Alligator mississippiensis: one gene and its partners. The protein of the gene in region 4 binds, or shares a complex with, the protein of the main gene of each other region. Links are inferred from orthologs where the notes say so. Each region holds a gene or a part of one and is shown on either strand. Other genes may lie near its edges.

What was found.
Region 1: PPIL2 (region 4) and SNIP1 share a complex: the UniProt entries of both Homo sapiens proteins name them as parts of the minor spliceosome. The link is inferred for Alligator mississippiensis from reciprocal best matches to the Homo sapiens genes PPIL2 and SNIP1.
Region 2: PPIL2 (region 4) and RBM48 share a complex: the UniProt entries of both Homo sapiens proteins name them as parts of the minor spliceosome. The link is inferred for Alligator mississippiensis from reciprocal best matches to the Homo sapiens genes PPIL2 and RBM48.
Region 3: PPIL2 (region 4) and GPKOW share a complex: the UniProt entries of both Homo sapiens proteins name them as parts of the minor spliceosome. The link is inferred for Alligator mississippiensis from reciprocal best matches to the Homo sapiens genes PPIL2 and GPKOW.

Annotation. Positions count from the first base shown.
Region 1 is NC_081829.1:913,317-920,423, forward strand, and holds the start of SNIP1 (smad nuclear-interacting protein 1), read right to left. Parts: upstream 3,011-7,107; 5' UTR 2,885-3,010; coding exon 2,727-2,884; intron 1,679-2,726; coding exon 1,576-1,678; intron 222-1,575; coding exon 1-221. Other genes in the region: DNALI1 (axonemal dynein light intermediate polypeptide 1), read left to right, coding at 3,316-3,396, 3,631-3,773, 4,170-4,339, 5,005-5,183, 5,750-5,914. UniProt on the Homo sapiens protein: Required for pre-mRNA splicing as component of the spliceosome. As a component of the minor spliceosome, involved in the splicing of U12-type introns in pre-mRNAs. Down-regulates NF-kappa-B signaling by competing with RELA for CREBBP/EP300 binding.
Region 2 is NC_081828.1:175,536,483-175,544,357, forward strand, and holds the start of RBM48 (RNA-binding protein 48), read right to left. Parts: upstream 3,006-7,875; 5' UTR 2,891-3,005; coding exon 2,777-2,890; intron 362-2,776; exon of another isoform or gene 1-361. Other genes in the region: peroxisomal ATPase PEX1, read left to right, coding at 3,255-3,368. UniProt on the Homo sapiens protein: As a component of the minor spliceosome, involved in the splicing of U12-type introns in pre-mRNAs.
Region 3 is NC_081831.1:28,334,571-28,341,634, forward strand, and holds the start of GPKOW (G-patch domain and KOW motifs-containing protein), read right to left. Parts: upstream 3,017-7,064; 5' UTR 2,989-3,016; coding exon 2,943-2,988; intron 2,841-2,942; exon of another isoform or gene 2,832-2,840; coding exon 2,585-2,831; intron 1,958-2,584; coding exon 1,812-1,957; intron 1,344-1,811; coding exon 1,204-1,343; intron 591-1,203; coding exon 484-590; intron 57-483; coding exon 1-56. UniProt on the Homo sapiens protein: RNA-binding protein involved in pre-mRNA splicing. As a component of the minor spliceosome, involved in the splicing of U12-type introns in pre-mRNAs.
Region 4 is NC_081833.1:14,803,148-14,810,890, forward strand, and holds the start of PPIL2 (RING-type E3 ubiquitin-protein ligase PPIL2), read left to right. Parts: upstream 1-4,731; 5' UTR 4,732-4,881; coding exon 4,882-4,913; intron 4,914-5,628; coding exon 5,629-5,678; intron 5,679-7,731; coding exon 7,732-7,743. UniProt on the Homo sapiens protein: Has a ubiquitin-protein ligase activity acting as an E3 ubiquitin protein ligase or as an ubiquitin-ubiquitin ligase promoting elongation of ubiquitin chains on substrates.

The DNA of each region.
Region 1 (7,107 bases), on a different chromosome or scaffold from region 4:
TCACGTCTTCTCTCATCGTTAAATTCCCTCTCTGCTTGCTGCTCACGGAGGTTCTGGGAATCCCTCTCTCTCTCGTGACCTCGACCTCCAGGCCTTTCACTGGAATTTTTCCTTCTGTCCGAATGGTCTCTGTGTCTGTCTCGCTCTCGTCTGTGTTCCTGTTCGGGCTGGTCTCTGTGCTTTCGTTCGTCGTGTCCTCTGCGGGAATGATCATCTCGCTCCTGGAACAAAAAGACATTAGAGTGACCTATTCAGAATTAAGGGAGAAAGAAAAGGCAGGGAATGTTGTTTAGTCTTTAGAAAAACAAATCACAATTTAATATGAGAAAACATACAGACTCAACACACGCTGTATACAGACTTTTGCTGAATTAAGTTTTGATAACATGACTGACTGAATGATCACTGAATAAATAATTGTGAACTCAAGTTTCAGAAATGAAACACAGGCAGAATTGGTTTTAAATGATTTTACTCTAAAATCAGAAGTTCCTTAATTCTTAGCTGTTCTGTCTTAGTGTAACTCAAAAATGATTCAGGTGCCATCATGTTAGGTGCTGCGTACGCAGAGGGCAAAAAGTATCGTTGGCCAGCACAGTTTGAAGTCTCACAATAAAGTACTAGATAACAAACAGCTCTGTCACTTCCACACATGGTAAAACACTAATTCAGCCAAATTTAACAAGTGTTACTCTACTGCTGATATGTACTAACACAACACTTAGAAACACTCTCAAATTTCCTTATTCCTTTTCCTTTCCACACTACAGACACTTGCAGAAATGACGACTCCTTCGGAGATCTTCTGGCTCATCGTCTTACTCCCCACCCAAAACTCAGTAGCACAAATTTTCCTACTATCCTAATACACCAACAACTTTGAGAGAATCTGTTCGTGAATCACCTCATTTCCCAATGCACCAAATCTTGGGTCCCACACAAATGCCACTGTTCTGCAATTCCAGTTTTAAATGATTAGTGATTTAATCAACAGGACAGGAGAGGGAAGGATCTCCTTTAGAAGAGCAAGCACATGCCTGTTTGGAAGCATCCTACTACTTTCTATTGCTGCCGAGAGGCCCCAATTCAACACGCTACACGCTGCGCTGTGCTGTACACCCCTCCCCCAGTGTCAACACTATTCTGGGGAACTGGACCAGCTTAAAGGGCGAGGCTGCATGAGTGACAGAGGCCAGATTAACAGGTAATCCCTGCAAGCGCTCAAACATTCGAGGCAGAGTTTGTGATGGAGCTGGCTGTACTTTTGCCCATTGCTGCAAGATAACTACACTCTAAACTTACGAACGATCAAACTATCACCTGACCCCCAGGTGTCTTTCCTGCCTGGTGCAGGGGACTGGACCCGATGGTCTGCCGAGGTCCCTCCGACTTTACAATCTATGAAAAAAACCGTGGTTATCAAGTAAGAAACTAGTCGCCCCACCTTCTTCAGATCCTGCTGCTACAAATTAACCCGCACACCTGCTCTGTATGGCTGCACAGGACCCCTGGGGTTTCAACAGGTTATAGCCAAAGTAACAAGCAGGATCAGGACCTCCCCGTTAAATATATTACCTGCTTTACTTTGACCACAACATGATGAGGGCTTCTGCTTCTTCGATTGCGAGGAGACTTGCTTCTTCGACTGGAGGATTTATTTTTTCTTTTGCCCGGTGATCTTAACAAAGCAGAACAAAACACGACACAACTGAGCTGTCTGGCCCACGTCACGCAGAGACAAAGTACGTTTGTGCAGCGGTTAAGCAGCGATTGAAGCTTGACCTAGTAAAATGGACGTTAACAAGCTGGAGGCTTCAGAGCAGAGGAGAGAGGCAGGTGGACGAGGCAAGCGCAGGACCACGAAGCTGCCGAGGCGGCCGCGAAAAAGGCGACCGTAAACGTCTCTCTCAAACGAGGCACTTTCAGTCGAAACGGAGATTTCACGCGACCACAAAGCCTCACCTGCCAGGCGGGGTCAAGCACTCCCGAAAAGCGCATCCGCACCGGGGCGCGGATGGGGACGGACTCGGGCAAACCCTGGGGGCTGGAAAGCTGCGGCACGTGTCGCCTGGCACGGCCACGGCCACGGCCACGAGGGGACGCGACGACGGCCTGCAATCCGCCGCGAGTGTCAACCTCAGAGGGAGGAAAAGCTGCCAACGCCAAGGAGCGACCTGGGCACCAGAGCGAACGGAGCGGGTACAGCTCGCCTGGGAGCCGGGACAGGGTTTGTAGCCGCCGGGAGATGCCGGCCCCCTCCCAGCGCTCCACTGACACCCCTCCCCGCCGACACCCCTCTCCACAATTAAACATTTTAAAGCACGACCGAGACCAGCGGCTCCTCGTCCGCGGCGCGGAGACCCCCGCCAGCCGTCACCGCCGACAGGTTTATTGTAACGCCTTGACGTGAGAGAGGCGCGCGGGGGGTGCTCGAGATGGGATCGTTTTAAACCGGTCGGAGTCGGGGAGACGTGGATCGGCACGGTGCCGCGCTGCTGATCGCTACGCGACGGGCGGACAGACGGCCGGCCGGCCGAGGAAGGAGGGCAGGGCTGTGTCCGGTCGGGAAAACACGGACGAGGCGACAGGAAGTGAAACACGTCCCGCGGCCCCGGTGTCCCGTCCCCCCAACCCCCCCGGCGTGGACCTGCTCTCGCGAAACACGCGGGAAACGCCTTTGCGGCCTCCGTAGCCACAGCTGCCTCTCCGGGGGGGGGGAGGGGTACCTGCTGGCCCTGTCGCGGCTGCGGGCGGCCTGGTGCGGGCCGCGCCCCTCGTCGGCCGGCGGGGACTGGCTGCCGCGGGCCGAGCGGGCGCGCCGGGGGCTCCGCGGCTCCTCCCGCCGCCGCTTCTTGCGGCCCCGCTCCAGCTCCGCCGCCTCCATGGCTGCGGCCGGGCCGGGCCTAGGCACCGCGCCGCATCCGGATGCTGCCTTCACACTTCCGCTTCCGGAGGTGAACGGCAGCAATGGCCCACTTCCGCTTCCAGGGATCCCCGCCGACCCGGAAGTGCTCCCGCTTGACCTACCCCTGCACGGCGCTTCCGGGGAGCCAGGCCCCGCCCCGCGGCCCTGCCTCAGGGCCCGCCCTCGCGCCGCCGGGGAGGGCAGAGGAGGGGAGGGCGCGTTCCCCCCCCCCCCCCCCGAGAACAGCGCCAGGTGTAGCACGTGCGGACAGGGCCGCATTGCGCATGCGCCCTCTCCTCCCTCTCAGCGTGCTGACGTCACGGCGCCGAGGCGTTGCGACGCGTCCCGGCTGGCGGGTGGGCGGGTTGCCATGGTGACCGTACACAGCGCCGGGGCCTGGGGCCGCCGCCATGATCCCCCCGCCCGACTCGCTCGTGCGCTACGAGACCCCCGCGCTCGTCACCCGCAACGCCGACAAGCGCTCCCCCAAGGTGGGCGTGCATGGGGGTGGGGGGAGCACAGGGGAGGGCTGGGGGGCAGAGGGAGGTCGGCGGGTCCAGGGGGTGAGTATGGGGGGGCAGGGGGGTGAGCACGAGGGGGAGGGGCGGTCTGGGTGTGCAGGGATTGAGCGTGGGGGGGGGGGGGTTGGGGGAGGTCGGGGGGGCCAGGCCCAGCCGGGGGCACGGTCGCAGCTCACGTCCCGTCCCGTGCGGCGGGGTCGGCAGGCGCGGGCGCTGAAGACGCTGTCGCAGCCGGCGGCGGTGCCAGGCCCGGTGCCGCCCCCGCCCAAGGCGCGGTCTCCGTGCGCGGCGGCGGAGCAGGCGAAGCAGCAGACGGAGGAGGTGCTGAACGCGATCCTGCCCCCGCGGTGAGGACGGCCCCGGGGGGAGGGGCGGGGGGGTCGCCGCCCCGCGCCCCGGCGCGTGACCCGGCTCGCGGCCAGTCGTTCCTGCGGCCCGGCCCGCGTCGGCCGCACGAAGCGTTTCTCGCCCGATCGCTCCTGTGATCTTTGCATCCGCGGCCCTTCTCCGGCCACTGCCCCGGGCAGCACACATCCCCGGGCGGACGCCACGGCCGTCTGAACAACCCCGAGGCGCTCGTGAAACGAGCACTTCCCATTTGCTCGGAGATCTGCTTGGTTAAATCCCCTGCAGAGGCAGGTCCCGAGCGGTCGCTGGTCGCGGCCAGCGCTCTTACAGCGACGGGGCTGTAAAGGCGGCGATGAATGTCTAATAATGAAATCCGTGCTGGTTTTGTGGTGCAGAGAATGGGTGGAAGACAATCAGCTCTGGATCCAGCAAGTGTCGTGTACACCCAGCACACGGATGGACGTGCTGCATCTGCAGGAAGAGCTGGACCTCAAGCTGCAGCAAAGACAGGCTCGAGAAACCGGGATCTGCCCCGTCCGCAGGGAGCTGTACTCGCAGTGCTTCGGTCAGTGAGCTCTCCCGATCCCTAGCAGCACGAGCCAAAGGCACATGGGACTGAGAGCAAAACACTGGAAGTGGCCGAGTAGACGAGCTCGGGGGAATGGCAAATGGAGATCTCCCAGTAATACTGTGGGCTGTGGTCCAGCCTCGGCCAGTTGGGAACAGAGGTTATTACCATCTACTGCGTGTAGGGGCACCTGTGGGTCTCGGGTCGGTCCCAGGCGCGCAGGTGTACTGCTAGAACAAGCAAGCTCTACAAGGACGTTACTGTGGCAGCAGGGCATCGGCAGGGTTTGTTTCAGATTCGCTTGGTAGCGAAAGACTTATTCAGACCCATCGCTCTGATGCTGCAGTAACTCACAGATGAATCCAGGCAGTTTGCTAAACGTTTCAGTGACACCGTGCTAGTCCTCTGCCTGCCACAGCCCAGCACGGGACACTGTGGGAAGGCACCAGCCATAGGGGTAGGGAGAGTGCCGATTGTTACCGATGATCTGTTCATTTTTTACCAGTAAGAAGCTTCAGGCCTAATCGCTGACCTCAGAAGCCTCCGTGTCGTTATAGTTCTTGTGGGAACTTTGGCAGGGGGCTGCTTCAGGCCCTTGTTTTTCCTGATGCCCACATCCGTTTCCCCCTCTCATCTTCACTTCCGCCCTTTTTTGCTTAAAGACGAACTTATCCGTGAAGTTACCATTAACTGCATAGAGCGGGGAATGTTGCTGCATCGGGTCCGAGATGAAATCCGAATGACCATTGCTGCCTACCAGACCCTGTACGAGAGCAGCGTTGCCTTTGGCATGAGAAAGGCGTTACAGGCTGAGCAAGGCAAAGCAGATATGGAGAAAAAGGTAATTGGGGCTGCTCGCTCCCGCGTGCTCCTTTCTGCACGGGGAGAAATGAGCTAACCTTTGTACCCGGTCTTTCAGGCTCGGTAGATCACATTCTGCCGTAGGTGTTAGAGCAGTCTGACAGGTGTTTTAAAACGGGCTCCCAAGGGAGGTGGTGCTCTCCCCTACCCTGGGGGTCTTCAAGAGGAGGTTAGACGAGTATCTAGCTGGGGTCATCTAGACCCAGCACTCTTTCCTGCCTATGCAGGGGGTCGGACTCGATGATCTGTTGAGGTCCCTTCTGACCCTAACATCTATGAATCTATGAATCCCCATTTCTTACATTTGAGTCACTTTCCCATTTCACAGATAAACGTGTTATTTCAATTTTCCACTCAATTCAGTTTTTTCTGGTTCCACTGGATGGCAGTAAAGCTCATCCAAACAAACCTTTTTCTCCCCCCCCCCGGCCTATTTATAATATAATATTTATATTGCCGCATAGAGTGTTAAACACACAGCTGTGTCTTAATTGTACTCCCAAAGTGTAACAATGAATGCAAGCAAGATCTGTGTTCATTTCAAAGATTGCAGAGTTGGAAGAGGAGAAGAGAGAGCTGGAAAGACAAGTGAATGAGCAAAAAGCTAAATGTGAAGCTGTTGAAAAACGTGAAATTGAAAGGCGGCAGGTAGAGGAGAAGAAGCATGGTGAGGAGGTCCAGTTCTTGAAACGAACCAATCAGCAGCTGAAGGTCAGTAAAGAGACCCCCACTCCCACCTGCAAGTGGTGGTGGGAAGATAGGGAGACACGGAAATATTGTTTGCGTCTTTGTTTCACTTTCTTATAAATAAAAAAAGCCCAAGTTCCAATTTAACTGACACTAACATTGTGCTTTCGCTGAACCCTCAAACCTCCCCGCGCTTCTGTAGGAGGAAGACGATCGCAATAGTAGCTCGAGTGAGCCCAGCCTTCTGGTGATCAGTTGGCTGAGTGGGGAACACATTAGGCCCAGCTGGGGCTGAGATGCAGAGACAGTTTAGGCTTACAGATCTTTAGGTGATCTTAGAGTTTGCACTTGAACACTGATAGTTCCTCAAGGACCAAGTTCCTGCATGCACCTGACTTGAGAGTTACCTTAGGTGGCTGTGAGCAGAAAATACCAAGTTGCTGAGAATGCACTGCTCCCTCAAAGCCGTTTAAAAACAGAACAGGATGTCCCACGAAGTCAAACCAGGACCACAGGGTGACTTTCTTTGCTATTGGTCTGACACCTTGACAGTTCTCTTTGCACCAAGAGACACGGTAAAGAGAACAGTTGCCAGAAGGATGAAACCCCTGTCTTTTGGCACAATAGAGCCTTTTCTTCCATCCTTATCCAAGACCTCACCCAAGTAACAGCAGGCAGCGGGAACTGGGTGCTAGGCATCACTGGCAAGAGAGGCCTTGCTGTATGTTTGCGGGTCAGGAGGATTCTTGTTGCAAAGAACCTTAGAAAAGACGCTGTAATAGGGAACAAATCGTAAAGTGACATTCCTTTAGTCCTTTGGTTTCCAGATAAGGAAGGGTAGCAGGAGCAAACCCTTCTGCCTGGTGCACACTAGAACCGTGCTGAGCTTTCAGATAGGTGCTTGTGCCGCACATCTCAATTCAGCTTGTGCTTCCTTCCACTAGCAGCCCAGGAAGGAGAGCAGCTCAGGTCTGAACGTATCCCACGAGTGAGTCACCACATACTTGTCTTTCCAACCCTGTCTTTCAACAGCAACAGAACCAAAATCCACGTGGGAAGCATCACTGCATTGTCTTGGGGCTTCCAGGCACTATGGATCATAAGCAGCACGGAGGCTGGAGCGGTGCAGGCTCATCACCTGGGTTCCTAGGGTAGCAAGTGTTTGCTTGGCTTGGTTCAGAACGTACTTCTTGTGTTGTCATCAGTAGCATCCTTCC
Region 2 (7,875 bases), on a different chromosome or scaffold from region 4:
ATTGACAATTTTTTTAGAGGTGCACTGATAAAGATTTTGGGGGCTGATACCTATAGCCAATTTTTAAGGAGGTATGTCAGCCGATACCGATCCGATTTCCGATACAGCTGCATCCAGATGGGGAGGGGACAGGCGGAAGGGGCATGTGGGGGCAGATCAATGCCCCCCCGCGGTGAGGGAGGAAGTGGGGCTGGGGTACGTACTGCCCAGCCAGGGTAGGGTGGGCACAGGACGGAGCTGCAGCTTGTCAGGGGGCGGAGGGGGGTTGGGGAAGGGGAGCAGCTCAGGCTGCAGCTGTGGGCTGAGGCCTGCACCAGGCTCCTCCTGGTGGGTGGGGGGTTGGGTCACACTGTGCTTGAGGCAGGTTGCGGCACTGGCAGGGGGCTCCAGCCACCCCAAATTTCTCTGTAGCCCCCATACCCCTCCCTCCCAGCGCCGCCACTGCATATCCACCGAGTGCAGCCCAGCCCAGCCCTCCCTGCGGCCCATGGCCCTAGCCTGCAACTGCAGCCTGCTTTGTTCCACCCTGATACAGGGGGCACACGTCCCGCCCGCCATGCCCTCCACCACAATAGACTTACCAGCTGCACACAGCTCTCCAAGCTGTCGGGCTGTGCTCCTCACTGCCTGCATGCTGTGCTGCAGCTGCACGCACACATGGGCATTTGTCAACCAGCAGAAGCGGCAGCGGAGCCGTATGCCACTCAGGACTGACAGGTGCAGGCAGGGGGAAATGCAGCTGAGCCCCTGCCACTCCAGCCAAGCTCGTCCCATCCCGAGTGGCACATGGCTCTGCTGCCGCTTCTGCTGGCTGGTGCAGACCCGGCCGGGCTCCTCCCATCCCCAGCAGCACATGGGAACCTGGCTTCAGCCGCATGCTGCTCCAGGTGGGATGGACCCAGCCACCGGCCAGAAAAAGCAGCATGCAGCTGAAGCTAGCTTCCCACATGCTACTGGGGATGGGAGGAGCCCGGCTGGGACAGCACCGGCCAGCAGAAACGGCGGCAGAGCCGTGTGTCGCTCAGGACGGGACGAGCCCGGCTGGAGCAACAGGGGTTCAGATGCATTTCCCCCCTGCCTGCGCCTGCCAGTCCCGAGCGGCACACAGCTCCGCAGCCACTTCTGCTGGCTGGTGCCAACCCGGCCGGGCTCCTCCCATCCCCAGTGGCACATGGGAAGCCAGCTTCAGCTGCGTGCTGCTCCAGATGGGACAGACCCGCCTGGGTCAGCACCAACCAGCAGAAGTGGCGGCGGAGCCATGTGCCACTCCAGACTGACCAGCGCAGGTAGGGGGAAAGTGCAGCTGAGCCCCTGCTCCTCTGGCTGGGCTCATCCTGAGGTTCATTTCATGTTTGTAAAATGCTTGGAGAGCCCCACATAGACGCACTGCATAGAAGTGAAAAATAAATTTTAACTTATTTGGTTGGCACCTTGGGCTGAGATTTTCAAAGCTGAGTCAAAAGGCCAACTTCCATTAAAATTAATGGGATTTAGAGGGCTCCAAATCTTTTATGACAACTTTGTAACATGCCTATCTACCCCTTTTTGCAAATCTCAGCCATAGTTTGGAAACTCAGCCAAAGAACATAAGAGCTTCTGAACATAAGAGCATAAAAAGCACCATGCGTGGTCAGCCCCATGGTCCATCTAGCTCAATATCCTGCCCCAAACAGTGGCAGAGGTGGATGCTATAGAGGGAGAGTTTTGAACTGGTTATTTAAACCTATTTCATTGTCACTTCCTGCAACTTCATTGGTGTCAAAGGTCACGTGATATCACTTCCTGATGTGATACCACTTCCTGTGAGGTCTTTGAATATGGCTTGCCAGCCCACTGGGTGATAAAAAGTTTGTGATCCGGCCCCACATTCAAAAAGGTTGGACCACCCCTGTTTTATATTGTACAAAGGTTGACAACCTATAGTCCACAAACCAGATTCAGCCTGCAAGATTTTATCTGGCCTGCCAAAAACCAGCTGCCTGCTCATTGCTCGCCTCCTTTCCCTCCCCCTGGGCTCCCACACAGCAGATCTCTGCAGACCCTCTGATCCCACATTTCCCAAGGAGGAATGAGCCAAGCACACAGAAAACTCACGCCAGCTGCTTCTGCAACATGTAGCCAAGGGGCAGGCATCTCCTAGAAGCCCTGGCAGGCAGCCTGCCCGCAAACAGCTTAGGCAGTAGCATGCCATGCAGCACATGCCATGTCTTGGGCAAGTTGAGGTAACTGTCCTGACTCCAGTGGGCAATGGCTGGTCAAATTAAGGAGTTATGACTCCCTGGCTGCATTCATTTGTGTTGCTGTCAGCAAAAGGCTACCAATTCCTGGTAGAGCTCACTGCAACCCTAAGAAGTCACTGTTCTGGCCAATTAAAGTGGTGTTGACAAAGAAAGAGTCCCAAATCTTTCTTGTAATAGGGCTGGAGTTTTGTTGCAGCCATGACAGTCCAGGAAAGGTGTGAAAAGTAACATGGGTTTTCGGTTGACATCTTCTATCGGACTAACCATATAGCTGGAAATGTCAGAGGCTTTCCTACACAGAGACTTCTGGATCACCTGAAGGGTGCGCCATGCCCAAAAGTTCATCTAACACCTGCCAGCCATACAGTGAGTGCAATAAGAGAGCACCAGGCCGGAAACTGGGGGGGGGGGAAGGGTGGCGCGAATCCACCCGCGTCCTCTCCCTTCCCAGCCCGTCGCCGCCGCTGCCCGAAGGGCGGCGCTATGGGGCGTTGCGCATGCGCAACCCAGGTTGACCCGCGCACCGCCGCTCCCACCTTCACGGCGCGCGGCCGGCGGCCCTCGCGGTACTTGGCGCGCGAGGCGCAGACGTCCCGCTGAGCGTGATGCCCGCACGCGCCCCCGACCTCGGCGCCCGTCGCCGCCGCCATCTTCCGCCTCTACCCTCCCCTCCTGCGCCGGGCGGCTTGCCAACAGCAGCCAATCAGGGAAGGGTGGAGCTATTGATTTCCCTTCATTGGCTCTGGGGGGAATCGTCATCAGGCCGGAGGAGACCTGCCGCATCACCGGACTGGAGTGAGAGCCAATGAAAGAGAGGGAGCGAGTGGGAGGCGCAACCCCATTGGCCTGCGATGGGCCGTACCAATGTGTGCGGGCGGGGAGGGGTGCGGCTTGCTAGAGACCTGGACTTCGTCGTCTACCAGCGGACGGGGGAGCTGCGCGTAGCGTCAACCCCGAGAGTTCGGTCCGGCCCGGCCCGGCCCAGGCCGCCTGCAGCGGAGCGGGGCCGCCAGCATGTGGGGCAGCGGCGGCCCCGGCGGCGCAGCGGTGACCGTCGCCGTGTGCGGCAGCCGGGACTGCTTCCTGCACCTGCCCGCGGCGTTGGCCGCCCGCCTCCGCCTGCAGCAGGTACGGGTCGGCTCAATCCGCGGCCTGCGGGGGCGGACCTCGGCAGGGATTGTGGGATACGCGCAGTCCGCCCCAGCTGCCATGGTGACAGCAGCGCTCCCTCACCTCGTGACGTCACTGCCCGCCGGGCTCCCGCGGGTGTGGGGCACGGGCACCAGCCCCGCCGCAGGATCTGGCCCCGCAGCCTCCGCCCAGCCCCCGGGGGCGGGAGGTCGTGGCCGGGGGGACGAGGATTATTATAGTTGTACGATACTTTCGTCCCTTGTAGGATGTGAGATGGGTAATAGTCCAAGTGCTCAACATGTACGATCAGTTTTGAACTGCAGAACTCGAGAACTCTTGGTTCCGAGGTGATACCTCAACCATTCTCTTGCGATTTCTTAGTTGTTCTAATAAAAGGTGTCATCTCTGAACCGAGTTCTCGAGTTTTGCATTTCTTTTTGTCTCAGACCAGCATAGCTACCTGATACATCCCTGATCACTTTTGAGACAGTTGATGCAGCATATGCCAAGCCCAGGCCCCTCTCAGAGAGTCTTATCTAGGATTACCATATTTCCTGTTTCAAAAAAGAGGATGCCTGTCGGGGGGGCAGTGATATGCCTGTGCCCTGGTTCTGCCCCTCACTCACAACCCACAGTCCCCCTCCCTCAGACCATGTTGCTGTTCCTCAGTCCCAACCCACAGCTCCCCCCACCCTGTCCCGGCTGATGCCCCTCACTCCTGACTCGCAGTCCCCTGGCACTGTCTGTTCCCTGCAGTCCTGACCCACAGTCCCTTGTTCTCCCCCCCACCATGTCCCTCACTCCCAGCCTGCAGCCCCCTATCCCCCGCCCTGCTGGGATCCTCTCACTTTCAACCTGCAGCCCCCTTACCCCCCACCCCTCCAGCCCTACCACTTTCCCTCACTCCAGACCCACAGCACCCTGGCTGGCCCCATAGCTCCCTGCTGCCCCTTCCCCTCTCCCTTCCACTGCTGGAGCAGCAGGCATCTCCCCTGTCCTTTGCAGCCCAGTGCCAGGGACAGCTTCAGTGCTGAACAGAGCAAAATCCCAAATCCCAGACATTGTTGATATTTAGAAAAACCATCTAGACAGAGATGGGAGGACTCAAAAAGAGGACATGTCCAGAAAAAAACAGATGTATGGTAACTCTAGTCTTAACTGACTTTTGGGTTTGCTGTCAGCAATTTCTTATGGCAGCTTGCCTTGAAATAAAGAAAGGCTTCAACTTTGATGACCCAGTTGTCACTCACTGGTGATTTACAGTGAGCAATATAAAGTAAATACAAAGAAGACTTGTTTGCATATTTTTTCAGTGTACGTTAGTTTTTTTCAGCAAATATGATAATTTTTGAGCTTCCAATACAGTAATTTTGTATCTAAAGACAATGTTGCCAAGCACTGCTGCTATAGGTAGAGACTTGTACCTGAAGAGAGTCCAGTTCAGTGTAGGATGTAGCCCCTTCCCCTCCCTGTAGAATACAAGAAGGTTGCAGGGAAAATGCAGCATACACTGTCAAGGTCTGGACAAACCCTTTGTGTCACCCACAGATATTAATAATAGGAAAACATTTCAAGGAAAAGATGCGATTCAATTTCCTCACAAGATTAAAGGGACGAGGAGACTCATTCAAGAGTCGATTATATATAAAAAAAAAAAAAAAAAAAAAAGTGTGTGCACTTTTGCTAGAAAGCAGCATCAGTAACCTTGAAATAAATCTTCTTAACATTTTCCTGTTTTCAGCAAAATTCCCCAAGTCCAGAAGAAAACAGTCATGGGAATGGAACCGGTCCATTTCAATCCAAATGTTTTTTCACACTGCTAAGTAAAAGGAGTGGGAGGGGATGAGGGCTGTGTTGTAGAGCTGTGTATTACAGGAACTCTAACTGCTGGCTTTGTCCTTTCTAAACTGAACCAAGCCAGCTGGTACGAGTTCAGAAAACTTTCTATGAAAATAGCAGGAGGAAATGGTGGGGGGTTTGGTTTTTTTGCTTTTTTCTAAGTCCCGCAATTCCAACCTGAATGGAGTTGACCATTTTGGTCACTTGCTTTCTCAGCCAGCCAGCAAATTGTGTGTAGGAAAGCATAACAGAGGAGATGCAAAATGAAACCTTGTTGGACAAAATGCATCATGTTTTTCATCATTTAAAGTGGAATCTATCAGACACAGGATAAATAAAACAAAAAAAATCTATCTGACAATAAAGTGAATGTAGGAGGTTGATTTAAAAAAAAAAAAACTAGGCTTCATTTTTCAGTTAAGCCATCTGATATGGGCCAGGATTACTACTTTCGATTAATTTTTTTGTCCCAAGGAACTGTACGTATATTTCTATTTAATGCAGTTAATGGACCAAATAAGTTCACCGGGACAAATGATAAGTATACAGTACACACCCACGCGCACACACCCGTAAAACAAAGTCTAAACAGACAGATTTTTAGACAAAGAATTTGAAGAAAGAAATAAAGTTAAAAGGTTGTTAGGAAGAAGGAATATACAAGAGACATTGTGGAATGTTTGGGTGGTACAGAACTCATTTCCTGATATGTTCTAAACATTGTTCTGTGAGTAAAGATGGGCTAAGAGGATATGTTTGAGGGAAGATTGAGAGGCTGTGTGACATGCAGGAAGGATCATGTTGGACAGTCCAAGGAATAGAAAGCATAGGAATTGGTATGGGGGCATGCTTGTGGGAGTAAAAGAAAAACTGGAGTTGAGAGGCAGGATTGACAGAGCCACAAGGCAGTCATAAAGAAGATGTAACAGTGGCACTTTAGATCAATTTTTATTGGCTACACATTGTTGTACTTTTCTCTCTTCCTTTTCAGATAGTTGCTGCCTCTTCTGTGTTTTACTTGGGCCTTTCCTAGTTTTTAGCATCAGTAGCTTGATAACCCTTTACAAATGTTTCATTTATTTAGACTGAAGCCTGCCTCTGGATGTGCAGTAGTATGTAGCTGCTTAAGTTAGTCTTAAAACTGTGTCTTTGAGTTCCATGATATCTTTAAAGATATTGTGCCTCCAAGGAAAATGAGTGGCTGTGGAATGGTTGGCTGGACTGTAGTATGGCAGAGGATATGAAGGTTACAGTAAACCGGAAGCTGAATACAAGCCAAAAGCGTGCTCTTGTTGCCAAAAAAACCTAAAAGCATACTGGGTTGTGTTAACAGGAGTGTCACTTGCAAACCAAGGGAAGTGGTTTTTATGCTGTAATTAGCACTGGTGAGGCCTCACCTGGAATACTGCATCCTGTTCTGAGCTCTGCACTTCAAGAAGGACATGGACAGATTGGAAAGAGTCTGGTAGAGAGCACCAAAAATTATTAGCCGTCTGGGAAGTAAGACTTACAAAGAAAGGCTGACAGGGCCAGAGGTATTTAGTCTGGAGAAGAGAAGACTGAGAGCGGGATTTAATAACAGTCTTCAAATACCAGTTTGAAAGTACTTGTGCTGTCCTAAAGAGCTATTATAGAGGGTAGAGATGGGCTTTTCTCTGTGACTGTAGGGGACAGAACTAGGAGCAATGGATTCAGACCTCACCAGGTGAGATTTAGGAACTTTTTGACTATGAGGGTGGTCAAGCATTGGAACAGGCTACCTAGAAAAATTGTGGAACCTCTATCCTTGGGAAGTTTTCAAAAGTCAATTAGACCAACACTTGGCTGGGCTGCTTTAGTCAGGGAAGATCCCACCTTGAGCACAGGGCTGAGGGAAGAGACTTTGTGAGGCCCCTTCTAGCACTACTTTCCTATGATACCTCCATTCCCATAAATGTAGGTTTCACATTTTTCTTTACATTATTTCTTCTAATCACATGTGGTTGCTCTTTGGAATTATGATAGCCGTCAATTTATGACAGCCTTCAAATTTCCTCATGTGAATACCCTTACTGAACCTAATGGAAAATTTGTCACAGACACCAAGTTTATCGTTATTCAAGAACACTTTGATGTACATGTTTAAGTCTCATTGATCCCCAATAGTAGGGCAAGACTGAAGGACATGCCTATGTTCTTTTCTTAATTGAAGCCAGATATTTCATGGACATGCTTAATTCATTCTGTCTCATTTTCGGTTGATATATAATATTAAAAGATCAGTGTTTTGAAAACACCACTAGAAATTAAGATTAAATGAATAGAAATGAAGAAATAAAAACATTTTTAAAACTGTAAGAAAAAGAATTTTGAGAGAGCCTCTTGACTCAAGAATCTTGGTAACTTTTACCAAAAGGAACGTTTTCTGAAGTCTACTGAAAATGGCTTAAACTCCCTTTGCTGAATCATTGCAAACTTCTCGTAGAGCTGTTGCAAAGGTTGCAGTCATTAAAAAGTGCTGCCTGGAAAGTCCAGAAATAAATTTTTAAGTTTCTTTTAAGATTTCTTTTAGATCTTTGGTTAGACAAATGCAAGACTGGTTAGACAATCAGAAATCTGATTAGATAAAGTCCATTTGTCTAATTGGAACAGGCCTTGTTTGACTGGAATAATTTTATTTAAATTG
Region 3 (7,064 bases), on a different chromosome or scaffold from region 4:
CAGCCCCCAGGCCCAGTCCCTTGGGACGCAACTCATGTTCTAGTGGCTTCACAGCCCTGGGGGAAGGATGGGACAAGAAGGGATTACATGGCACCCCTAGTGCATCCCATGGTACTGACCCCTGTGCACTCCTCCCCCACACTATGACTTCTGATCCCACCCAGACAGTTCCCCTGAACTTCAACCCCAGAAGCAGAAAGAAGATTCTACACATCGTCCCTTCCTGACCTTCTCCCCAGGGTCACTTCTGGACCTCGGAAAGTGGTTGTACCCAAAATTCTCTCTGGCATCCCCCAGTTTGACCTTTGATGTCACAGGGCAGCCTCTGACCATACTCACAATCCTCTCTACCATATCCCACCTTGATCTCTGATTGTACCCACAACCCTCCAACACCATGCTGTACCCCTCGTTGCCCTGCTCCCTCCCCTCTGACCCTTGACCTTCCCAACTGCCACGACCTTTGCCCCCAGGGTCACTCACTGCTTGAAGGTATGGCCGATGCCCTCGCCCTCCTTCCAACCCATCCCCCGCAGCATGGCCAGACCATAGGCCTCCACTGGCACCTCTTCATAATCTGCCTCTGTGGCCTAGGGGGCAAAAGGGATACATCAGCCCACTGGGGTGGGGATTCTGTGGGGAGGAGGGAGTTCTCTGGGAGCTGGGGCCCAGAAGTGCGAGCTCTCCCCCTGCATGAGGCAGCTGGAGGCAAGGAGTGTGAGGGATGCAAGGCCAGCTGGGCCTGAGGGAGGGGGAAAGGGAGAGGTCAGAGTTGGACACCTGGGTTCTCTGAGAGGGAAGTGGGAGCCAGGGAGGGTAGTCAGGGAGAGTCTAGGAGCCTGGACACCTGGGTTCTCTGGAAGTGGAGTTAGAGCAGGGAGCAGTGTCAGAAACCTAGACATGTGGATTCTGCCCCTGCGTGGGTCACCTGGCACCAGGGGCAGAGAGGGGGGATATTGGGCCAGCTGAGCTGGGGGGCAGGAAGGGATCAGAGCCAAACACCTGGGTTCTCTAGAAGTGGAGTAATGGCTGGATGGGGTTACAGCCGGGGGACCTCAGAGCCCTGACACCTGGGTTCTTTAGATTGGGAGTGGGAACTGGGAGTTCATGAGCTGGGATACCTGGGTTCTGCCCCTGCATGGGCCAGCTGGGGGCAGGAGGTGGGTGGGGGAAATACAGAGCTGAACCTGGAGATTCCCTTACCGACTCAGGGCGCAGACTGACGTCCACATGGTCGCTGTCCTCGTAGCCACTAAGTACCCTGTTCTGGACTAGCATGGGAATGGTTCGAGCCAGGGAAGCCTCAGCACCAGCCTCCCAAACTTCCAGCACCCGCTGTGACTCTGCAAGGTACAGGGGAAGTATCAGAGCTAGATGCATGGATTCTTTGGGAGGGAGATGGAGCTAGGCATTTAGAGCAGGGAAGACTGGGAACCCAGGTATCTGGGTTCTCTGGGAGGAGTGGGGGCTGGGAACCTGGACACATGAGTTCTCCCCCAGCTCTGGCAGGGCATCTGGGGTGGTGGGGAGTCTGGACATTTGGGTTCTGCTTTTGAGTGGGCCAATGCAAGGGGAGCCTTTAGTTGACAAAATTAGCACTTTTTGGGGGGAAGCGGGAAGGGGAAGGGGCCACATCTAGCACCCTGGACACCTGGGTTCTCCCCCATTTCTGGTAATTAGAATGAACAAATACAGAATAAGAAAAAGCATGAAGGGGTGGGGAGACTGTACGTGTGGGTTCTCTCTCTGCTCAAGCATCAGGCTGGGAATGATGGCAAGCCCAGACACCTGGGTTCCCGATGCCCACTCACCCTCAATGATCTCCCGAATGGCCTGACCCTCAACCCTGTCCCCGCCAACAGGGTCTGGAGAAGCCTCGCCCGCTGGCCGCTTCCACTGGTTCGTCCGGATCAGGGGAATGACAAGTGCTGAGGGGGGCCGTGGGGCCAGGCAGACACTGTGGGGAGACAGCTTTCTGATGCCCCACCCCTCACAGCCTGAGGCCCCAGCCCTTTCTCTGCACATGCCCCCACCTCCACTACACTTGATCTGAGCCTTCAAGAGGCGGAGAAGGGATTTAACCATGCTCCTTTGCACTTCCTAGGCCCTGCCCCCTCCATCAAGATCCCCTCCCCAGTAGCCACACCTCAATGCCCCACAACCTCCCCAGATGACCATGCCCCAAAACCCTATAACCCCACAGAGGCCGACCCCCTCATCTACTGACCAGCCCCTTATCTTAATTCCAACCCCTGCTCTCTGGGGCCACGCCCCTTCCCCAACCCACGCCTCCAGCCTGCCCCTCTTCCTTACCCCGCCCCCTGCCCTAAGTGTACACGCCCTTTCCCCTCTGCAGGCATGCACTGTACGCACCATGGCTCAGATGCCCAGTGCACACCGACTTTTTCCTCGGTGCACGCGTTCTGATGTAACCCCTCTGCGAGGCAAGCACTTGGGGCAACCTAAGCTTCCACATTAAGCATGCGTCCAAAGACACCCAGCCTCTTCTCCTTCCTCCTGTGTTCATGGTCAATACAGCTCGCGCATGCGCCATTCCGCTTCTCTACCCCGCCCCCAGGGATACCTCTGGAGCTCCCGGTCCTCCATAGCGCGCACGAAGTCTGGTTCCGGCACGTGTTCGGTGGCGTCAGGCTCCGCGCAGGGTCCCGACTCGGGACCGGGCAGCCGCCTCCGCCCAGCGGCGGTGCGTGTAAACCCGAACGACACTGGTCCCGCTCCACCAGCCGCTGGCGCCGCCATCTTGCCGCACCCGCAGTCGCTGCCGCAGGACATCATGGGAGTCGTAGTCTCATCCTCGGAGCTGGCCCTAACTGGACGCAGTAAGGTTTCATGGGAATTGTAGTCCTCTCAGAGCCACGGCCCTCTAGTCGCGCCCGGAAACGCCACCGAAAAGTATCATGAGAGCGGTACAGCCGACTCACCGCGGCCATCATTGCCTCGCCTGGGGTTTGCGGTACACGGAATCATGGGAGTTGGAGTCCCCCTCTACTAACAGGCATTTCGAAGAGACAGGAAGGGTTGCCTGAATCTCCCATCATGCGGTGGGATCTTTGACGTAATACATAGACAGCATGCATTGGGGCTCCAGGCTAGAGTTACCAGCATGCACTGGAGTAGCCTACAGGTCCCAACTGCCCTGATAACTGCTCCCCCACCCCTCCAGCTTTGGGGAGGGGGAGCTGGGAGAGGGCTAGGGAGAGAAACCAGGTGTCCTAGCTCCCAGACCCATTTTGTTTAGTCACCAGACCACCCCCCGCCCCTCACTTCCTTTCATTTTGGGATGAGCACGGATTAGCTGCCCTGCCACCTAAGTATCCATCCCTCCAAAAAACTCCACCCTCCCTAGCAGCCTAGCCACAGGGGGCAAGAGGACGGTTACCTGGGCAGCGGCCCTGTTGCCTTGGCAACCCCCCCCACCCCACTGCCTGCAGCCTGGGTACCCAGCAGGGGATGGAGATGGAGGGCTTTTGCACAGGGCTGATCCCAAGGCTTCCCCCCCCCTCCCCCCACCACCACCACTGGCCTATGGCAGATGGGATAGGATAACCTGCTGGTTGGACTTGGATTGTCAAAGTTGGGGGACTGCAAATTGGGAGTGATGGAAGGGGCTGTGGGTCAGGAGTGAGGAGCACTGTGGGGAGGGTGGCCTCACCAGAGCTGGGGGCAGGGCTGTAGGGGGTAAAATGCGGCTTGCTTATGCTCTTCACCCCAGATCTGGCTGTATCTGAACACTTTTTTTTCTCCTTCCACTCTAAAGGCCTACAGGGACTCCCAAGAAGACTCCCCCACCCAACACTCATCTTGGGGCTCTAACAGAAGGCCCCCAATTGCACCATGGGGGGTCCCAGACCTCAGCCCCATAACTGGGGCTCAGAGAGGGGTGAGGCCTATGGAATCAGGTGAGTCACTGAGGGGCAGGTGTCACAGGGCAGGAGTGATGGGCACCCCAGGGCTATGGTGCAGAGGTTCCAGGACAGGAATGGGAGGCACCATAGAGCTGATGTGCGGGGCTGCAGATTGGGAGGGAGGAGAATTTTTATCTACCCCTTCCCCACAGCTGCAGCACCCCGTGGAGCCCCCCAGAGGTCAGAGTTCCCATGGCAGGGTCGATCACAACTACAGGAGGTAAGTGTAGGGGACCAGGAGTGGCAGCAGGGGGCATCATGTGGGGCTCTGATAACCTGGAGCAATGGATGACACTCTGGGACTATAGTCCCCCTCCAGATCACTAGGAGGTGACATGCAGAGCTGTATCTCCCTCTTTAAGCTACTAGGGGATGCCGTATGGAGCTGTATTTTCTCCCCAGGCCATTAGGGGTTACCATAGATCTCTTTATCCAGGCCATGGGGGAAGCTGTGTGGGGCTATATCTTCTCTTCTAAGCCACTAGGGCAGTGCTTCCCAAACATTTCCTCAGCATGACCCCATTTCCTCATCATGGCCCCTCACTCTCAACTCACAGCACACCCCCCCCTTGGGTGCCCCTCAATCCTGACCCACAGCTCCCTGGCTTTGCTGGTGCTCCTCATTCCCCATCTGCAGCCCCCCACTCTCCCCAGGTGCCCCAGGGACAGGGCCCTCACCTTAGCAGTGCCTGAGTTCTGTCTACCACCTGAAGGAAGCAGCAGCTGCTAAGGCCAGAGCATGAAGCCCGGCTCCCTGCCCTCCACCCCTGTCCCTGACCCCACAGGTGGTACAGCCAGAGTAGAGCCCATGGGGGTGGGAGGATGTGGGCTGTGGGCTTGGGGCTCGCTGCCCTGCTGCCTTTCCCCCAGGCCTCTGCAGCCCGGCAGACAGGACCTGGGAGAGAATGCCACGCTGCAACCCCATCTACTAATGTTGCGACCCTATTTGGGATCACAACTCACAGTTTGGGATCTGCTGAAGTAGGGAGTGCTGTATAGGCCTGTATATCCCCCTCCAGGCCACTGGAGGATGCTGTACATGGCCAGATTCTTCCCCCACCCCCTCCAATGTTCAGAGCTGCATTTTGCCTCCAGGCCACTAGGGGATACTGTGCAGTGTTGCATCTCCCCCACTGTGGCATTCAAGGGTACAATATAGGGTTGTATCTCCCCTTCCAGGCCACTTAGGCGGGGTGCTATGTAGGGCTGTATCTCCCCTCTGGGGCATCAGGGTGCACTATTTAGGGCTACATTTCCCTCTTCAGGCAGTTCCAGCTACAGCTTGGGGGCGTGTGGGACTAAATATACTTCCCAGGTCACTTGGGAATGCTGTACAGGGCCATGGTTCTCCCCCCAGGGAAACTGGGGGCGGGGGGGGGGTGTTGGCAGCCATGTCTCATTAACACCTGGCTCTCCACCCTGCAGTGAATGTGGTGGTGGTGGTGGACGGGAGCTGGGTACTGCAATACAGCCACCAAGGGGTGCTCCACTCACCTTCCCTATTAGCCTGCTGCCCCCACCCCTGCCTGGGGGGCAGGACCACAAGCAAGGAGGTGGGGGAGGGGGTTGGCACCTGCCTGTGCCCCTGCCCCACCACTCCCCAGGGGTCACTGGCATCAGGGCAGGGGGCACTCAGGGGGGACAGATCTGGGACCCCCAGTGCTGCCCCCTGCTGGGCAAGGCAAATGAGACTGGCAGTGGCCTGCTGTTCGTTCAGTGCCCAGGTCAGGAGCTGGGGGCAATGAGGGAGGGTAATAGGTGCGGGGGCATAGGGATAAGGGGTGAGGAGTGCGAGGGCTGTGAGCAGGGCATAGGGATGGGTCTAAAGCTAGTGGCAGGGAATTGGGGTGAGGGAGGAGATTCAGGGGGCTAAGGGTTGGGGGAGAGTTTAAGATTAAGGGATGGGGCATTGGGTGATGAAGGATGGGGAGGGACTAAAGTAAGGGGAAGGGTATTTGGTTAGAGGAAGAGCTAAGGCTGGAGGAGGGGCACGGGGGAGGCTAAGGTTGGGGGAGGGGCAGTGGGGTGGGGAAGGGACTAAGCCTGGGGCCAGGGCATGGGGTTTGATGGAGGAGTTAAAACTAAGGGAAATGCATGGGAGTAGGGCTAAGAGGGCGAGGGTATTGGGGTAGGGGGTGGGAGAGGGTCATGTGGGTGTGGGAGGACTGTGGGGTGGGGCTAAGGCTGTAGGGGAGGGGCAAGGAGTGGAGTTAAACCTGGGCAGGGACAGGCCCTAGAGCAGGAGAGGGGCAAGATGGCTGTAGAGGTATCTCTGAGGGTCCCTTACTCCACTAACCCCTACTTTCTCCCCCAGGCCCCAGGAACCTGCCCCCATGGTCAGCTGCTGGCCCCCACTGCCTGGGCTCAGGGGGTGCTGAGGAACTTGCTGTGACCAGCTTTGTGGGGCCTGAACCCCAGGACATCCTGCTCAGTACCCTCTGCAGGCCTCATCCCCCAGGGGGCACTGGTGTGGCAACCAGGCCCTGCCCCCGCACTGGTGAGTGAGAGCAGGGGTTGTCTGGTGCCTAAGGGGTTAACTCCTCACCCCTAGCTGTTATCAGCTGCTGCCTGGCACCACCTGTCTGCCCCTGGGTCCCTTCAGCCAAGGTCAGTCTGTTTGGCTTGGTTTTGGGAGGGACTTGCAGCCACTCAGGGCCTAATAGCTCCTGCCCCTCTGAACACTACCATGGTTGCCTGTACCTAAGCTTTGCTATGGGGCTGGACATGTAATTATTTCTAGGGGCCTGGAGGGAGCAGATATTGAGTGAGGGTGGGACTGGGGTTTTGGGGAGGGGTTCCTGACAGGGTGGGGCAGGCACCCCCAGCATGCTGGGCGTGGTATGAAGGTGGGAAAGGAGCATGTTGGGGTACACACATGCACACACACCCATGATGGGGTGTGCACACAAACACCCACACACCACCTTATTCTTCCCTCCCCACCACAGGCTCCTCCACCAGTGACTTGAATGGGCCTGATACTGATGTGAGGTCTAAGATTGGGGGTTCCCACCCCCTACAACCCCAGGTACTAGAGGGAGTGGGGATATTGATGGAGGAGGGGGGACATGGAATGGGCAGGGATCAGGGAAGGGGAATGGGGGGTTTGTCTGGGTAGTGAAGGGGAAGTGGGGGAGG
Region 4 (7,743 bases):
GATAGGCCTGTTGAAAGTCTCTGGGTTAAGGTCAGAGGGGACAGCAACAAGAGTGACATTGTGGTGGGTGTCTATTAGGGGTGCCCCAATAGAGATTTTGGGGGCCAATACCGATAGCCAATTTTTAAGGAGGCTTATTGACCAATACTGATCCACTTTCCAATACAGTTGTGTGCAGCTGGTAAGTCTGTTGTGGGAGGGGAGGGAAGGGGCATGGCAGGGGGGCAGATCAAGGTCCCTGTGGTGAGGGAGGGAGTGGGACTGGGGCTGGGACTGGCGCTGCCCAGCCGGCATGGGGCCCAAGATGGAGCCATGGCTTGTCCAGGGGGCATGGGGTGGAGGGCAGCTCCCGCTGCTGCATGCACCCCGGGAGGGCGTGGGGTGCATATGTCCCCAGATCTGTGTGGGGCATGGGTGGGGCAGGCTGCAGCTGTGGGCTGGGGTCAGGGCTGCACCAGGTTCTTCCGGGGGGGTGGGGCTGGGCCAGGCTGTGTTTGGGATGGGTGGCGGCAGTGGTGGGAGGGGAGTTATGGGGGTGGCTGCAGCCACCCCAAATTTTGCCGTAGAAACACCTCCCCCAAAGACCTCCCAGTGCCATTGCTGCCCACCTTGAGCGTAGCCTGGCCCAACCCCTGCTTCCCTACATGCCAGAAAGAGCCCAGTGCAGCCCCAGCCTGCAGCTGCAGCCCCCTTCCCCTGCGTAGATCCAGGGGCACCTGCCCCGCCCCATGCCTTCCCAGGGTACACGCAGCAGCAGGAACGGCCCCACTCCTGCCCTGCACCCCCCAGATGAGCTGTGGCTCCATCCTGTGCCTACCCTGACCCAGCTGAGCAGCACTAACCCCTGCCACAGCCCCATGCCTTCCCTTACCACAGGGCCCTTGATCTGCACCCCCCACACCCCTTCCCTCCCCCCTCCCTTTCTACCACAACAGACTTACCAGCTGCATGCAGCTCTCCAAGTTGCTGGACTGTACTTGCTGCTTGTGTGCTGCACTGTGGCTATGCACTTACACGGGCATTTATCAGCCAAATTATTGGCCATATCAGGCCGATTTCCGATACAATCAATTTTTTTTACATCTGTGCTGATCCAATATCGGACCGATGTATCGGTGCACCTCTAGTATGTGTTATAAACCACCAGACCAGGAGGGTGAGGTGGATGAAGCCTTCTTCAGACAGCTAGTGGAAGTTTCCCAATCACAGGCTCTGGTTTTCATGGGGGACTTCAATCACCCTGACATCTGCTGGGAGGGCAATACAGCAGTGTGCAGGCAATGCAGGAAGTGTTTGGAGAGTGCTAGTGGCAACTTCCTGGTGCAAGTGTTGGAGAAGCCAACTAGAGGCCATGTTCTTCTTGACCTGCTGCTCACAAATAGGGATAAATTGACGGGGAATGCGGAAGTGGATGGCAACTTAGGTGGTAGTGACCATAAAATGATAGAGTTCAGGATCCTGAGGAAAGGAAGGAAGGAGAGCAGCAGAGTAAGGACCCTGGACTTCAGAAAAACAGACTTCGGCTTGCTTAAGGAACTGATGGGCAGGATCCCCCTGGGAGGCCAGTCTGAGTGGGGAAGGAGTCCAGGAGAGCTGGAGTTTATTTTAAATAAACCTTACTGAGGGCACAGGAATTAACCATCCTGATACACAGGAAGACTAGCAACTATGACGAAAGACCAGCTTGGCTTAGCAGGGAACTCTTCAGTGAGCTAGAACACAAAAAGAAATCTTACAAGAAGAGTATAAGAGTATTGCTTGGGCACAGAAGGATAAAATCAGGAAGGCCAAAGCACAATTGGAGTTGCAGCTAGCAAGGGGTAAGAAGGGTTTATATGAGTATGTCAGCTGCAAGAGGAAGATCAGGGAATGTGTGGGCCCCTTACTGAAGGGGGAGGAAACCTTGTGACATGATGTGGAAATGGCTGAAGTCTTCAATGCCTTTTTTTACCTCAATCTTTTACCACAAGCAAGGTCAGCTCCCAGGCTGCTGCACCTGTCAACACAGTTTGGGGAGCAGCCAACAGTGATGAAAGAACAGGTTAGGGACTATTTAGAAAAGCAGGATGTTACAAGTCCACGGGCCTGAACACAATGCACCAGAGGGTGCTAGGGGAGGGGTTGGCTAATGTGATTGCAGAACCACTGGCCATTATCTTTGAAAACATGGTGATTGGGAGAGGTCCCAGACGATTGGAAAAGGGCAAATATAGTGCCCATCTTTAAGAAAGGGAAGTAGAAGGATTCAGAGAACTACACCCTACAGCAGGGGTGGCCAGTTATTTTGGGCAGAGGGCTGTTCACTGAGTTTTGGCAAACCATCAAGGGCCACATGACAGGCAGTCAGGGGCAGATGAATATTAATTTTCTAAAATTTTTAGGGGCCCCGTGGGCTGGATAGAATGGCCTGGCGGGCTGCATTTTGCCCATTCCTGCACTACAGGGACTGAGGTGATGCCTCACCTTAGTCCCAGAAAAATCATGGAGCAGGCCCTCAAGGAATCCATTTCTAAGCACCTGGAGAAGAAGATGATTAGGAACAACCAGCATGGATTCACCACAGGCAAATCATGTCTGACCAACCTGGTTGCCTTCTCTGATGAGATGACTGGTTCTGTGGATATGGGGAGAGCAGTGGATGTGATAAAACTTGACTTCAGCATGGCTTTTGATAGGTCTCTCACAACCTTCTCACAAGCAAACCAAGAAAGTACAGGTTGGATGAATGGACTGCAAAGTGGATAGAAAACTGGCTGGATCATCAAGATCAATGGCTTGATGTCTAGTTGGCAGCTGGTATCAAGTGGAGTGTCCCAGGGATGGGTCCTCACGTTGGTTTTGTTCAATATCTTCATCAACGACCTGGAAGATGGGATGGAGTGCACCCTCAGTAAGTCTGCATATTACTTTGGTTCCAAAGAAGATGGAGCTAAACTGTTCCCAGTGGTGGTAGATGACAGAACAAGGACCAAAGGTGTCAAGTTGCAGCGAGGGAAGTTTAGGTTAGATATTAGGAAAAACTCTCATGGGGAAGGTAGTAAAGCAGTGGAACAGATTACCCAGAGAGGTGGTGGAATCTCCATACTTAGAGGTTTTTAAGACCCAGGTAGACAAAGTCTTGCCCGGGATATCTAGTTGGGGATGGTTTTGCCTGAGCAGGGCATTGGATTAGATGACCCCCTATCTTTTATAATCCTCTGAGCATCTTTGACACCCTTATGTTAGGGGAAAAATGCGAGTGGAAGAAAAATGCTTCAAAATTAAAAATGTTCCAGGCCCAATTTAAACATGAAGAATCAAAACAGGATAAAAGTCTTTACTGGCTTGAACTTGCGTTCTTAAGATTGCTTTGTGAGCTGTCTATTTAATGACCCCTACATCTGGCACAAAAGGCAAGAAGACTATTGGTGGCTTTTTCTAAATCTGATCTAATCTACAGGGTTTTTTCCTTTATGATGCTTGTGGGTTTTAAAATAGCAGTTCCACATCCCAATTTGTTCTTTCCCTTTTTTTTTTTCTCTCTCACTTTCCCAGAGTCCACCACAACATCAATCTGGTCTTTGATCTGATCTCAGAACACATTCTCAAGGAGATTCTCTTGGTGATAGTGGCTGCTGGCTCATACAACAGGAACCACAACACTAATTTCTGGGGCAAAAATTAAAGTTGGATGGAAATGAATAAAGAAATTACCACATACAACTAAGGATTCTGATAATTAAAATGGCAAGTATGTGTACAGTGCAAATGGGTGAATTTATGTTTTCCTTTGATGTTTGTACTCAGTGCCCACTAAAAGACTTTGTATGAATCAAACCAAGAGCCTCCCACTCTCAGAAATCTGAAAATGCTGGACCGTCGTATGAAACAGTTTTGAAACTGCAATAGAAAACCCAAAGCCAGCTGGGTCAAAACCAAACATGGATCTGTGTACCGCTGTGAATTTGAAGCCTTCAGCCACATCATGGTCTTGTTGGACTTTCCGTTAATTCCAAAAATTAACCTCGGAAGTGGCCAAGTTTGACCTCGGGGCTCAACACCTGAGGCTTTTACAAACTGTTGAGGCTAGCAAGCAGTTGGGCTTCCAAAGTAAGAAAGCTTTTGCAGGTTAATGAACTTGTTTTCTGGAGCTGATCATCTTGATTGCATAAAAGGATTTTAGTAACGCATCTGTTGGGTGAGAAACAGGAAAACTCCCTTAGTCATGTAGGACCTCTAGTGATCAGGCTAGTCCAAATGGAGCACCGGAGTCTGGCCCAGGGAAGAAGCAGAGGGGAAAGTCCTTTCGTTTTAGCTGGGGAGCAAGGAGTGGATGGACAGTAACATTTTAAACGAGGTGTCTGGTTTCATAGGGACTTTTGTGTCTTCTATTGACTAGCTCACCATCGCGTCCTGCTGCATTTTGAATGAACTTGCAAGTGGAGAAGAAAAAGGAGAACGTATAGGAAGAAAGAATTCAAACGTTTTCGCGGTTTGGTACACAGCTGTTCTGGGCAGGAGCTCAGTTTACAGCCCAAAGCGACCCTGCCAGGAAAAGCAAGGCAGCCCCCCCGGGGCGCCGGCTGCAGGAGGTGGCGCAGGGCCCGGGCACTGCTCGAGCTGCACGAGACGCGGGGGCAGCCGCCGCTGCAGTCATCGCCCAGGCGGCCGGAACGTTCCCTCGCGGCGCCGGCTTCCGGCGGGGCCCTGTGCCGTGGGACGCCGCCTGGCCGGAAGTGGCTGCAGCCGCGGCCTTCCGGGCAGGAGAGGCGTTTCGCAGCCCTCGGCTCCTTCCGGCCGGGCTCGCCCCGCGCGCACCCGGGCACAGCCAGGGGTCCCCCGCCGCGGGCGGGCGGGCGGCGGTGTCTTCTCAGAGCAGCCCCCGCCGCCGCCGCCGCCGCCATGGGGAAGAGGCAGCACCAGAAGGATAAGATGTGAGGGGGAGGGGCGCAGGGACCGTTGGGCTGGAGCCGTTTGGAAGGGGGGGGTAGAGGGTGGGCAGGTGATGGGGGGCGCCAGCGTAAATACTGGGGTTGGGAGTCTTGTCCCTCATAGCGGCGAAGGGGAGCACGAATCACGAATGGCACCTCTAGGTGCCAAGGACAAGCTTCATGAAGGAGCTTTCTCCACTGGACATACTTCCGAGTTGTTTTATTTGCACCACCTTTGGGAGCTTTGCTAGTGTCGGCCTTCCAGAGCGTGCAGGCTCCGGCAGCTCCGAGAGCAACGGCTGCCGGAGACCACCCGAGGAAACGCTTCAGGCCTCAGAGCACCAGTGTGGTTGTGGAGGCTCGTTGTCCCACCCGACGGGACAGCCTAGGATGCGTGCAGCGGCATGGCAGTGCTCCTGGGGCAGGCCGTGGTGCCACCGCACTTGTTGCTGCTACAGGATCACCCCAAAGTGGCACTGAGCATCGGGTGCCAGTTGTGTTGTCTCTTACGCCAGGCCAAACATCGGGGCCTCATGATGCCGACTGCCCCAGTGGGGCTATGGAGGGTGAAGAGGTGAAACCTTGGGTAGCTGAAGATATTTTATTTCTCAGAATGGCAGTCCCAGCGAATAGCAACAGTTCCTTAATATCTGCTAAACAGAGTTAGTGCTATCCCGTAATGCAGCCAGAATTGACTGTTCTCCTTTCTTCTCTTTAGGTACATAACATGTGCAGAATACACAAACTTCTATGGAGGAAAGAAAGCAGGTAAGCAACTGAATGCTGCGCTTAATTATTTCAGTGTTTACTTCTGGTGACAGTTCTTATTTTGCAGGCTTGTTCTCACTTCGCCGTTGTTCCATCTGGAGCAGTGATCCCCGCTGCCCGTGCTTCCTTCTCCTTCCATCAGCCCTCAGTAACTTCTCTCTGAATCTGCTCTAACAAGTTGAAAATATATTCCTCCTATGTATACACAGTTCAAGATTTGTCTTATCCCTTTGATGCGTCTGCTGCCTTTGACATTGATGGATGCACTCTCCTTTGCCACATCCCATCCTTGTGCTCTACGATCATATCCCCCTCCTCCTCCCCCTCTCCCCCCTGAGGTTTCATTGTTCATTTCCCATCTTATGTTCAATGTTTGTTTCTCTCTGTTGCCCTACTTTGTTAGAGTCTTTCAAGGCTTTGTTCTTAGCCTTTTCTCTTTCCCTGTATACCCTCATGCTGCTGTGCAGTTAGCTATCACCTTTTTATTGTTGCTATTCAGGTTCTTCACACTGCTCATCTCCTGTGCCTCAGTCTTGCATTTCCTTCTTTCTGTTAGACCACCCTGGATAATTCACTGCCTTTTCAACATGGGTAGATGTAAATTCCTCCTAAATCCTCTGCAATTCCCATGTTTTCATCTGTGGTTGTCTTCTTCCCAGTTATCCTAAGTTCCTGATGCCAACTGCCTGGATATCTCTCTAACTCCAACCTGTTTCTCTCTTCAAAAATCAGTCTTGTCCAAGCCTTGCCATTCTTTCCTCCTCTTACTTTCCTTTTTTTTTTGTCCTCCAACTAAATTGCTTGTCCATGGCCTGAGTGGGCATGTCTACACGCGCATTTAATTCATAGCAATAAACTCCAACACACATCGCACAGGAGTTTATTCCTCCCAGGCCTGCTGTTTGAATGTGTGCCCAGGACCTCATAAAGTTGAGCCAGACCGGAGCAGCCCTGGCTGGCATGGGGCCCAGGGGGGTCATTCTGCCAGCCTGGGCCTGCTCCCATCTGGCTCAACATGCTGCAGAGGGGCAGGCTGGAGCACAAGTATGCTCCAGTGTGGGGCTAGCCAGTAGGCAGCCCCTGCACTAAAGCACCTTCATGCCCTAGCCAGCCGGGTCAGCATCTACAGATGCATTGTTGCTTACAAAAAAACTGCAGCAGGATAGTACCTGTATTTACAAGTACTAACCTGCTGTGGAGTTCAGTAGTTTCCTGCAGCCTAATAGGCCACACATGTAGACACCAAGACATTTGCTGTGGAGCTAATTGAGCAACTCCACAGTAAACATCTTGTGTAGACATGCCCAGTATCTCCCATCTACAAGTATCTTCTCCTATTCCAAAATGTCCTCACCTCAACCACATCACCCCCATATTCCAATTTTGGCTTTCTTTACTGATTTTATGTTCTCTGTTAATTTTTTTTTTCACTCTTGACATTGAGCCCTGTTTCTGCTTTCCTCTGCTTATTGTAGCCATCTTTGCAAGTAATATCAGTAGAAAGGCCTCTTTTTGTATCTTTTTTCACAGACATTTCTCTCCTTTTCTTCTGGCTACCACTTGTGTTTGGAATGTCCTCTCCAAACTTGTATACATAGTGAATCTGATAGCATTTGGTATATTGTCAATTTCAGTGTTTCTTCTTAATAATAAGTCAACTTCTTTTGGTCTTTGGGTTTTTAAAACAGCAACAAGGGGGAGTGAGTTTAAAAATGAGGTAACATGGTACAAAACCACAAACAAATGGAAAGGGAATAAAGATAAATCTGGAGCTATTTGAAATGTTGGGCTTTATTCATTTGCATACTGTCCTTTTTAGAGCACACTTGAAGTTCCAAAGATATTGATGTACAAAGTGTTGGCTTTTGTTTATAGTTTTGCAGGATTTGGAATGATTATTTTTGTTACCTATGAATTATTACCAGATGTACCAAATACTGTGGCTTCCAAACATGTATCATGTAGGGTTGATTAAAAATGTCTGAAGAACTGTTAAATATTCAAATGACTGTTTATTCAGAAAAAAAAAATGTTTTATGTTTTTTGCAAACAGATATTCCACAAG